Caenorhabditis elegans: one gene and its partner. The protein of the gene in region 1 purifies or fractionates together with the protein of each later gene. This does not show direct contact. Each region holds a gene or a part of one and is shown in the gene's direction. Other genes may lie near its edges.

The links. The genes of interacting proteins can lie anywhere in the genome.
Region 2: the proteins of snpc-3.4 (region 1) and T10D4.11 fractionate together in Caenorhabditis elegans (co-fractionation; one large-scale study listed by BioGRID). This does not show direct contact.

Annotation. Positions count from the first base shown.
Region 1 is NC_003281.10:4,015,272-4,022,061, forward strand, and holds snpc-3.4 (snRNA-activating protein complex subunit 3), read left to right. Parts: upstream 1-4,765; 5' UTR 4,766-4,888; coding exon 4,889-4,991; intron 4,992-5,036; coding exon 5,037-5,175; intron 5,176-5,226; coding exon 5,227-5,331; intron 5,332-5,376; coding exon 5,377-5,488; intron 5,489-5,536; coding exon 5,537-5,722; intron 5,723-5,780; coding exon 5,781-5,938; intron 5,939-5,984; coding exon 5,985-6,251; intron 6,252-6,319; coding exon 6,320-6,506; 3' UTR 6,507-6,612; downstream 6,613-6,790. Other genes in the region: C36E8.4 (SH3 domain-containing protein), read left to right, coding at 125-277, 327-470; tbb-2 (Tubulin beta-2 chain), read right to left, coding at 795-988, 1,044-1,517, 1,595-2,113, 2,186-2,351.
Region 2 is NC_003280.10:3,146,337-3,151,192, reverse strand, and holds T10D4.11 (CW domain-containing protein), read left to right. Parts: upstream 1-1,571; coding exon 1,572-1,686; intron 1,687-1,732; coding exon 1,733-1,872; intron 1,873-1,919; coding exon 1,920-2,155; intron 2,156-2,201; coding exon 2,202-2,245; intron 2,246-2,293; coding exon 2,294-2,436; intron 2,437-2,482; coding exon 2,483-2,685; intron 2,686-2,745; coding exon 2,746-2,761; downstream 2,762-4,856. Other genes in the region: T10D4.1 (DUF19 domain-containing protein), read right to left, coding at 504-701, 749-888, 945-1,053; T10D4.15 (CW domain-containing protein), read right to left, coding at 4,428-4,633, 4,699-4,759.

The DNA of each region.
Region 1 (6,790 bases):
AATTACAGTACTATTTAAAGGCGCACGCCTCTTCGAATTAAACACCCTTTTTCGTATCGAGACCGCGTACCGTATTTCTGCCGCGAAAAACCCATGTAAGTAGTAATCATTTTTCAATCTTCAGATATCCGACGACGGTTTCTACTCAACAACAACAACATCATCAAATGGTGGTCCTATTCGAACAACTACAACTTTCGATGAGCCCACTTCAAGTCCACCGACAATTTGTAGAGTTCTTTATGATTTTGAGCCGAAGCATGCTGACGAGATTGAGGTGGCTCTATTTAATTGAGATCTATATTATAAATCTGAATTATTTTAAGATTAGAGAAGGTCAATGTGTTCTTGTCGAGGATCGAATAGGAGATGATTGGCTCATTGGGCACGTTATAAGCCAACATGACAATTCTTCAATTGATCCACGATCTGGAAGATTTCCAACCACATATGTTTCTCTTAGGCAATGAGACTTTTTTCTTGGCGGCACAATAAAGTTTCCTCTTTTTGTTGGGTCACTCAACGAACACAATACAAATATTTGAGCGCTCGCATTTTTCTCAACCTTTCGGGTTTAAAGCACTTCAAAATGGAATTGAAGAGAGATTGTGAAAGTACATCAGACAGAATCACATTTTGATAGCATTCACTTCACTCAGATGCAAACTTTTCAGTGACTATAAAAAGTCATAAAATAATAACATTAAAAAAGCAAATAAATTAGCGAGAGAATTTTTTGACAAAAAGAAAGAAGAGTGATAGAGAAGAAGGGAATGCTTGAAAGGATCTTGCATTTATTGCTCCGATTCGTAAGTCTCTCCAGCTTCTCCCTCAGCGTATCCGTCGACGTCGTCTTCGGCAGTTGCTTCTTGGTATTGTTGGTATTCTGAGATGAGATCGTTCATGTTGCTCTCGGCTTCGGTGAACTCCATCTCGTCCATTCCTTCTCCAGTGTACCAATGGAGGAAAGCCTTGCGGCGGAACATAGCTGAAAAAATAACGTTTTTAAAACTGATACTGGATGATAGTTTCAAATTTCTTACCAGTGAACTGCTCTGAGATACGCTTGAAAAGCTCTTGGATAGCGGTCGAGTTTCCAACGAAGGTGGCAGCCATCTTGAGTCCTCTTGGTGGGATGTCACAAACGGCGGTCTTGACGTTGTTCGGGATCCATTCGACGAAGTAGGACGAGTTCTTGTTCTGAACGTTGAGCATTTGCTCGTCAACCTCTCTCATCGACATGCGTCCACGGAACATAGCGGCCACGGTCAGGTAACGTCCGTGTCTTGGGTCACAGGCAGCCATCATGTTCTTGGCATCGAACATTTGTTGGGTGAGCTCGGCGACGGTAAGGGCACGGTAAGCCTGGGTTCCCTTGGCGGAAAGTGGTGCGAATCCTGGCATGAAGAAGTGAAGACGTGGGAATGGAACCATGTTGACGGCAAGCTTGCGGAGATCGGCATTGAGCTGTCCTGGGAATCGGAGACAGGTGGTAACTCCGGACATGGTGAGGGATACTGAAAATTGTAATTATTAGGTTTCAATTTGGGTAACTTGTGCATAACTTAAACTTGAACAAGAAATAATAACTTACCAAGATGGTTCAAATCACCGTAGGTTGGGTTGGTGAGTTTGAGGGTACGGTAGCAGATGTCGTAGAGGGCCTCGTTGTCAATGCAGTAGGTCTCATCGGTGTTCTCAACAAGCTGGTGGACGGAGAGGGTGGCATTGTATGGTTCTACAACTGTGTCGGACACCTTTGGCGATGGTACAACCGAGAATGAGCTCATGATTCTGTCTGGGTACTCTTCGCGGATTTTGGAGATGAGAAGTGTTCCCATTCCAGATCCGGTTCCTCCTCCGAGAGAGTGAGTGAGTTGGAATCCTTGAAGACAATCGCATCCTTCGGCTTCCTTGCGGATCACGTCAAGCACATTGTCGACAAGCTCAGCTCCTTCTGTGTAGTGACCCTTGGCCCAGTTGTTTCCGGCTCCGCTTTGTCCGAACACAAAGTTGTCAGGACGGAACAGCTGGCCGAATGGTCCAGAGCGGACAGAATCCATGGTTCCTGGTTCGAGATCGACCAACACGGCGCGTGGCACATACTTTCCGTCTGAAAAAATTTAATTAATTAATCATTCCAACTAAACGATTTCGAAATCTCCAGAAAATTTTAAAAACTCACTGTTGGCTTCGTTGTAGTAGACGTCAATGCGCTCAAGCTGGAGATCCGTCTCTCCCTTGAAGGTTCCGTCTGGCTGGATTCCGTGCTCGTCGGAGATGACCTCCCAGAATTTGGATCCGATTTGGTTTCCGCATTGTCCGGCTTGCACGTGGACGATCTCTCTCATTTTTGCTGAAAAGGTCGTAATGAATTGAAAAACTATATTTAGATAGAGAAGATGAAGGAAAATAACAAAAGAAAGAGAACACGTCATGGTCGATATTGAAAAGCAATGATTCACGGCAAAAATTTAAAATTAAAGGAGTAAGTTTTTTTAATACATTGAAATTTGAGAGATGTTTAATTGGTGATTTGATTCTAGTTTATTGTGCTCTGAAATTAAATGATTCACGGCGAAAATAAGAAATTAAAAGACGAATTAGGAATAAGGTTGAATAAGGTTACCTTGAAAAATATAAGAGATGTTTAATTGGTGATTCTTTTCTATTCTATATAGGTTGATTCTAGTTTATTGCACTCCGAAATTAACTACTTTCGATAAAAATTTCAGCGCAAGTACCTTTCTATTTGCTCTAAAATGAGCCCACTTTTCATAATCGCTACCCCAAAAAGGAAACAAAAGGACGTTGTAGGAGCAGACATGCAGCTCTTGGGATGTATGGAATGGAGACGAAGAAGAGGCGGGTCGGGCGCAGTTGTGTCCGACGCTGTGTGCATTCGGATCGATAATCGCGAGAACACGGGGCGCGCGGCGCCCGCTCGCATTAAAAACCGCAGTGGCCACTGGGGCAGCAGTCGTTGTTGGACTGCAAAGGGTGGTGAAATCGAATAGACTATTGCGAAATATGCAGATATGGGTAGAATGGGTGAAGAGGAAGAGAGCAGAGGCAAATCTATTGCGAAACATACACAAAATGTCCATCAATTCCCTCTCTTTTTGCTTAATCCATTTGTTTTGCGTGTCACCACTAGGTTTGGCAGAAGGAGATAGAGCACACGACACAGATGGCTTTTCATCGGGTGCAATTTGGTGCTATTGGTTTGGGGTAGAGAGGGAGATGCCGCTTGGCGCGCAGTAATCCTATGGGAACCGAATGAAATGTGCTGGGGGCCTGCAGCTTTGAAAAGCCTTCAGAATAAAAGAGATGAAGACGAACCGTGAAGAAAAACGAGGGACAAAAACTAGTTCAATGCGATGGAAATCGTACCCCTGTTGACGGCTGCGGTGGTGGTGAATTGAGAATTGCGGAGAAAAGAGAAACGGAGATGACGTGGCAGTGACAATCGGCTTGGGGTCGCCTATACAATACGATACATATGCAGCCAATACTTCGTCACACATGCAGCCAGTCAGAGAAAGGTCAATTACCGTAGTACACGCGCCAGGAGACAATGTTAATGGGTACTATCTAGATCAGTTGCTGGTTGGATAACGATTTTAAAATACAATCCAAATCAACGGGAAGCTTCAAAAAAAAATTCCAAGAAATAACTGACGAAAAAAGTCGAGTTAAGGGTCGTGTGTCGGCGCTGGGGACGAAAAAGAGCTCTACTCTTACCCCCACTTTCCGTTGTCGATGAGACACATTATACCAAGCGAGAAACATAGAGACTGGCGCCGCCCGTGCTTCCCTCCCTTCTCCCGTCGTTTTTCTCTCCGCGCCCTCTATGTTTCGGATGGACAGGGACGCGAATGCTTTGTGACGGCCTTGACCAACGGGCGACAGCGGTGTCCCTTACCAACCCGCCACAGGCGAGGCATTTCAAAAAATGTGCCCATCCATCTAGCAATTTGAAAAGACGACGCGCCTGGCTTACGAAGTTAAGGAACTAGCCAACTGAAAAAGTGGAACTCAAAATATTAATCAGTTGCAAAGAGAAATTCTATTTCTGTGATTCATTCGGCGCCGAAAAGTAGAAACAACAGAAGAATTTGAGCTGATAACACGCAATCTAGGGAAATGATAAGAACAGAAACAAACAGCAAACAGTTTTTTGGGGAAATTATAATGGAACAGATACTAAAATGACCCGAATAACCAGAAACCATGACAAGCTGTGCAAATATGTTACACGAGAAGTACTTGTACATGTCGAAAATGATGAATGGTATCCGCCTATTGCGCCCGGTTGAGCTGATCGCAGCAAGGACATAATAATTATATATCAGATAAACACGGTGGCTGACCTTCAAGAAAGATTATGGCGGCCTATTTTATGCAATTTTATGCATCAATCACGAATAAAACTACAAAATTACAATTTCCCCAGTCTCCTAAACCGCTGAGAAGGGAATAGTTTATGAATGAGTCACCTTTCACAGGAAATGGAACAGAAAAAGGAAGCTAAAATGAGGGGCAGAACGTTTTAGGACAGACCATTTGCAAATTTAAAGCGCGAAACGATGCAGAAGTAGCTTGAAAGCGTTTTAGGCAAAAAATTGCAAAAAAAAGTAGCGAATGAAGATGAGAATGACAAAAAGAGGGAATGTTCGAGGCCTAAAATTCAAAATTTGCCGCCCAACAAAATTTCCCGCGCACACAAATGTGCATTATTGCGCGTCGGTGTACAATAAACTGTGCAAACACCGTTGTACACCGTACCCCTCCAGAAAATTGTTTTTTTTTTTGAAAAAGCAATTTTTCGAATTCTTTTATCCAACTTTCTCCTCCGTATAACTGTTTGAATTCAATTTTTAAATAAATGGACAGAAAGTTCAATTCTGATGAACAATGGTATATTTCTCCACTGCTCAATTTAGCCACAGTGAAGGAAGAGATGCTGGAAGTTCGAGAGTTGGGAGAAGGTTAGTTTATTATCTTAAAACAATCGAATATTGTCGAATTTTCAGTTATTATCGATAGAACAATGGACGATTTCGATTCAAAAACCGAAAAAGAACATGAAATGGAAATGTGGAAGAACAGTCTGTCTTATATTCAAGGAGTAACAGAAGAAGAATCATTGGAAGCTATTGAAGAAGTTTCAAAGTAAAGTAAATTTCAAAAAATCGAAAAACAACTAATTTTATTGATTTTCAGCCTCGATATGTTTCTGGAGGGGTCATCAGACGTTCAAACTCGACGATTTGAAGATATGAAGGGGGATCGCAAGTTCCTCGAACGATCACCGCTAGTTTCCCACAAGTAAATATTATTTAAACCTTTTATTCAAAAACTATAATTTTTCAGACATGTGATAAGTCGAGAAAAGACTATGAAAACTTCAAGGCAGCGGAAGTCCGCATATGTCACGTCACTGAAATATGACAAATACATGTTGAACGCCGGAGCAAATACTTCTGTAAATTAATTAATAAAAATAAAAATCTTTATAAAATAATTTTTCCAGCTTTTCCATCCTCAATGTTCAATATTAGAGAAATGTGAAGATGACATTGTCCTTATCGTTGATGCACTGATGCCATACAATCGAGAACTTTTATCTTCTGAACTTCGGAGCTCGCGACTTTTGAAGCCAATGACCAAGTTTCTTGTTCGTGGAGACACCCTTCTTTCGGATTTACGGCAGAAATTTGTATGATTTTTTGAATTTAAAACACACATTAAATATTTAATTTTTTTTAAACTTTCAGGTATGTCAAAGTGATACAATTGTTCCATTGGAGAATGGTTTGGAGCTGGATCCACCGAATTTGGATAATGCAACCGCAGTTCGATTTCCATCATCATTTATATTTGTTCATGATACCTTTTATGTGGATATGCCACCCAATGCAATTGACATTTCACAGTAATTAGTAATTTTCTTTAGAAAAATGTTTAAAAACATTTTTCAGCCCAATCCGCAACTTTATGCTTCACCGCGAGATTTATGATCCAGTGGAGGCTTGTAGTATGGAAGGAGTCAGAATTATTGACCTGAAGCTGCGTCTAGGGCAGCCGTACATATTCCAGCATTCTGGGAATTGTGAACATCTACTCGTTTTTCATGATTTGCGACTTCTTCATGAATCGGACCCGTGGGGAATCGATAAATATCCATTCACCTTATACGAGAAGGGAAATGAAAAGAAATGTGATATTTGTAAAAAAGGGCATGTGGAGTAAGTTTAATTCGCAAAAATTATTGTTTTTCCTCAAAGTAAATTAATTTAAAATTTTACATTTCCAGATTCGTCGTCGAACGCCACGAGCTTCTTCCCAACACCTACACACACTTCTGCAGGACATGCTTCCAGGAGTTCAACTATGTGCATGGTGTCAAGACGCATTCATTCATTGCTTGGCCGTATACAGAACTACAGACTGGAGAGCAAAGAGGATGGCCGTTTGGAGATTTTGAACAAGAAGATGATTGAAATAATTTTGATATTTATTTCTATTTATTTTGCAAAAACTTTATGTTTTTACTGGTATTTTTTATAGAAAAAAGGAAATGCTGGACATTTAAAAATTTTATTGTTCTTTTTTAATTGGATTTCATCTGATTGGTTTTGTAAACCATTTTTATATATTTAAATTTGAGTTTTTAAAACTATTGAATTCACTCGACAGGCGTATACGTATTGTGCGTCGAAACACGCTTTTACTCGTATAATTAAATTAAGAAGCGTGTTTTGACGCACAATACGCAACTCGGAAC
Region 2 (4,856 bases), on another chromosome or scaffold:
GACCTTTTTTTCGGCACTGTTCGGAATATTCACCAAAATTAATTTTTTAAACTCATAAATGCAAAGAAACTTCAAAAATTGATTAATATGTACGGAATTTATCATGTTAATTTCAATTTTACTAACTTCAATGGTAAAAGAATTTGATTTGTTTAAGAAGCTATTTAGTTTCTTTTCTAATGTGCCGAAGTGACGAGTGCCGATCGGCACAATGTGCCGACTTTTTTTTTTGAAAACGAAAGCACCAAAGTCATACAGCACAGGGCTGCCTTCTGTATCTGTGTATGAAACGGTATAAGGTCCGTCGATGGTGCACTGAATAAATTTTCCACCGCTTTTGGATTTATATACTTTGTTATCAAACTTAACAGTGTGTTAGTCAAGCTGAAATCATTTATTATTTTTAAAGCATTTCAATTAGTTTATTCCAGGTTTGAGCTCACTCAAGATGGACACTCATCGCTGGAATATTGTTAAATTAATCATGTTTTCACCTTTACCACTTACCACAATACAAAAAAGACCTTGGATTTCAGCCCATTAACAGTGTCCTCTTCGACCAGGCTGTTTGAAAAGTCCGATCCTCTATAGACAGCTCCTCTTGGATATTTTGTGATGTACCATTCATTATTTTCACAGATCACGCCGCATTGTGTAAAGATGTCAAATGGGCCGGCAGTACCAAGAACAGCTTGAACAGTCTGAACCAGGAATCTAGAAATTTTTACTGAAAGCATGGAAGACTCACTCCAAGGCCCGTAACGTCATCATCTGGCTTAGGAATTTCGGATTCTCTCCAACGAAAGGCAATTGTAGTATGAGTACCTGGCACGCACGTCGCATTCCGATTGCATCCAGCATTTTCCGTGTAAAATATGTGTTCTTCATCTATGTAGAAAAACGATTTGGTGGAGGAAAAGGTAGTAGGTAGTGCAAAAACTTACTTGTTATTAGATCAAGAAAGCTTGGACACTCACAATCGTCTTCGCATCCATATTCGTCTTCGCAGGCAACATAGCAAATGAGAAGTAGGAAAATGAGATATTGCTTCATTTCGACCATAGACAGTATAGTTTTGAGTGGCTTTTATACGGTTAGCTGATCAATAATCTTGTTAAGTGTTACTTTCCAAATGCAAATTAGAGTATTTAACCAAACATCAATGCTTGACTACTTCCGGCTTTGCGGAAATTTAAAGTTATAATTCAAGAATATACATAGACCATAATTTGAAAAGTTTAAAACTTTTTCCCATGGAAAGCAACACACCCAAGATTGGCTTACAAAAGTTTCATTAGTGATGAAAAGCGTGATAACTAAAGGGTAGGTAGGCGAATCCTTCTACCTACCTTTCTTGGTATAAGTTGGTCTGATGTCGACAAAATCTTTTTATCCGGCTCTATCTTAAAATGGCAACTGACCGAACATCTTTTGTGTTAATTAATCAAAATGTCTACAGTATTGATCTCTGGTGCTCCAACATCCTAGCTATTAACATATTAACAGATCAATTTACGAACCAACTCGGTGAATAAAAGGACAGACGTTTAGAGAATTGTTCACATGACAACATGAAAATCAAAATTTTTGCTTTTCTGGTCATATTTTTTTCGTGTTTCTGCATGGAACGTCTAGCATGTCAGAACCAGAGTTGCCCGTGCTCCAATCTCTATGACAACCTGAACGGTAAGCCAGCTGCTCTGACAGTTTAGTCGTAACTAGATGTATTCAGATGCAGAAAACACGGTATACTACGAGGGGCTAGGTTGCTCCAGAACCGTATACTGCACGGTCGGCTATTGGACGTGGCTAACTTTGTCCTGGGAGTTGTCCGACATACCCACTCCAAGTGACATTTACGAGGATACATTTGTGAGTTACAAGCACTTTAACACACCCTCAAGATTGATTACGTTTAGTTTGCTTTCACTTGGAATCATACAGACCCTATGGGGGTTTATGCCGGGGGTCCTATCACTGACCTGGTCTCTCTGTTGGGAATGCAGTGTGACCGCAGTACAAGCCAGTGGATTGTGACAAGATACCCATTTGGGTATTCCTATTTCAATCAAAACGATGAGAAGATTGTTATTGATGGGTACAGCGTGGAAGGCGTCAGATCAATAGTTTCGTCGACGGATTCACGATTTTCTTGGTACCCGTGAAATAATACGATTTAAAAAAATATATACAAGTTTCAGCGCAAATATGTGCAGATGTTCAGACCTGATGAGCTTGGTCGAGGGTATTTAAATTGGTGGGCTAGCTCTCAAGCCAACTTAATTGATTTCAGATTCGTCTGAAAATATTCTGTACACCTTTAATGGAAATCATTGCAGTAGCAATTTCACTTGTAATGCAGACTCCCAAACATTCATCCGATCTAGTTTTGACGGGTCGGAGATTCCTGGTATTGGTAATCGTACGGGTGCAATGGTAAGGGAAACCAGAATGCATCATCAACTTGACTAAACAATCTCAGCTGATTCCCACGATTCCCGAAGAAGATCAGCCAGAACACTCCTCTATAAACATTATGGTCGAACTCGGGATATATTGTCATGAAGGGGAATGGTATGTAACACAATATCCGTATGGAGTTACATACATGGATGATACTGGAACGAAATACATCACCGGAGAGGATTGGGGAGGGAAGAAATCTAAAGTTCTTGGGTTCAGATGGTAAATGATTTTGACTTTAGGTTATTTTGAATTTAACTGATTGTGAGTTTGATTTTTCAGTACAAAGTGGCCTTGAACTTCGTCGATTGTAGCAATAAATAATGTCCATGTAGACTATTGTTAAGATATCAATAAATACAATAGTCCTTCCGCACTAGACGCAGACCACATATGATGTGCAACTAATTTTATTTTGGCTTGTTAGAATGTAAGAATGTTGAAGACTGCAAAACTAATTGAGAAAATTTTGAAACACAACAGTAGTTTCTGGACAGGGCTGCCTTCTGTATCTGAATATGAATAAGGCCGCCTTTGAACCGCCAATAAGCCACTGAATATATTCTCCACCACTTTTGGTTTATATCTTTTGTTATCAATCCTAAAAGTGTGTTAGTCAAGCTGAGATCGTTTATTAATTTAATTTTTAAACGGTTCAAAAATTTGGAAAATGGGGGTTTTATTTCTGAAAGTTCTTGAAATTTGATATTATAGATCTGAGAATAAATTGTAGAAAGTCTTGAGTGGATAACATTTTTTTAACCTTTTTTTTGAGAAGTCGGGGGGGGGGGGCAGTACTAATAGAATACGGTTTAATTCAAAGTACACTGCATTCGTCATTATGTTCTTGAACAGAAAGCACACATAATTCAACAATCGTTTTAACAAAATTTCAGAAATTAAATCTTTCATCAAACAAATCTGTCTACTTTTTGACCACCTGTCAATTTTTACATATTCCGTAATAAAATTATGTTTTAAATTCAGAAAAGCTCAACATTTGCAATAAAATAGCTAGACAGTTCTGAAAGAAGAAGGCGATTATTATAGTACGTATTTCAAAAAAAAAAGGATCTTTCAGAAAATCCACATTAGTTTCGTTCTTGCGTCCCATTGGTCAACCGCGGAATTGAGAGATGATCTTCACTATTTTGTATTGTATTATTTTTTTAATGACGCCACGGGTGCCTGGGTCGTTGTAAGCGTGTAAAATACATGCAAATCTTCAACAAAAAACATTATGTTTTAAACATTTATATTAACGTTTTTGCAACGACATTGAACAATGAGTGTATGATAACCATTTATTACGACAATCGACACAATACACGACTTCTGTCCCTTTCACGGCCATTCTTTGCTGAAATTGGTATTTTATTTGTTAATGACGTAATTTAATTTCAGAGTACCAAGACATTGAGATAAAGGTGGATCTGACGTTGTCAATCTTTTCATTAACGACAATCTTTTTGCCTCTATTGTCGAAATAATAATACCCGAACGGGTATCTGGTAATGTACCAGAAATATGCAAAACATCTGTCATTGACAAGCGACTTCGTATCGCAGGCACATTGTATTCCCAACAGAGATACGAAATCAGGGTTAGTGGGCGGAAGTTGATTATAGAGCGTTCGATTCCACATTGAAGCATACTGAACTTGAAAAAATTAGCGTCTAATGCTTTGCGGAAATGTCAACGTTTGGCATTTTTTGTGACAAATCAAACTAAAAGACCTTTCAAATAATTGATGAATTATTGAAAAAGTATATATTTTTAATTTTTCTATAAAAAATTGGTTACTGTTCCAAAGTTGAGGGAAAAATACGGTAAGTGTTTTGAAAAACTGAAAAACGGAAACTTTTTTGAATAAGAATATCATTCATACTGGGGTGCACGGCAATCGAATTTCAGGCAATTTAGGTAATTTCGACAACTGCCGGAATTCCTGATAGTAGGAAATTCTAAAACCCAAAGTTGCAAAAATTGACGATTGCCGCGCATCGTTGAATCATAATCACGATTAGGCCATCTCTTATGTCACTCGGAAGACTCGGGAGGCCGGACCAACTTGCAACTGTATCCGCAACGGGGTAATGATTAGATGGGCATGTAGCACTTATAGTGCATCCCTTTCCCTCATTGTATAACATTGTGTCTCTTGAATAATCTGAAAATAGCTAGATGAAACATAAAGTAATGTAAACCTTATCTGCACGAATTACAATAGCTTACAATTGATTCTGCTGGTAAAGTTCTTGCACGGGCAGATTTGATCCTCAGGCCAGGTGCTTACCTAAAAAAGTGTGAAGAGTTTAAGAACTGAAATTAGAATTGAAGGACAATCTTCTCTGAAAACCCGAAATCATAGGGGTCTATGCTTTCAGTTAATG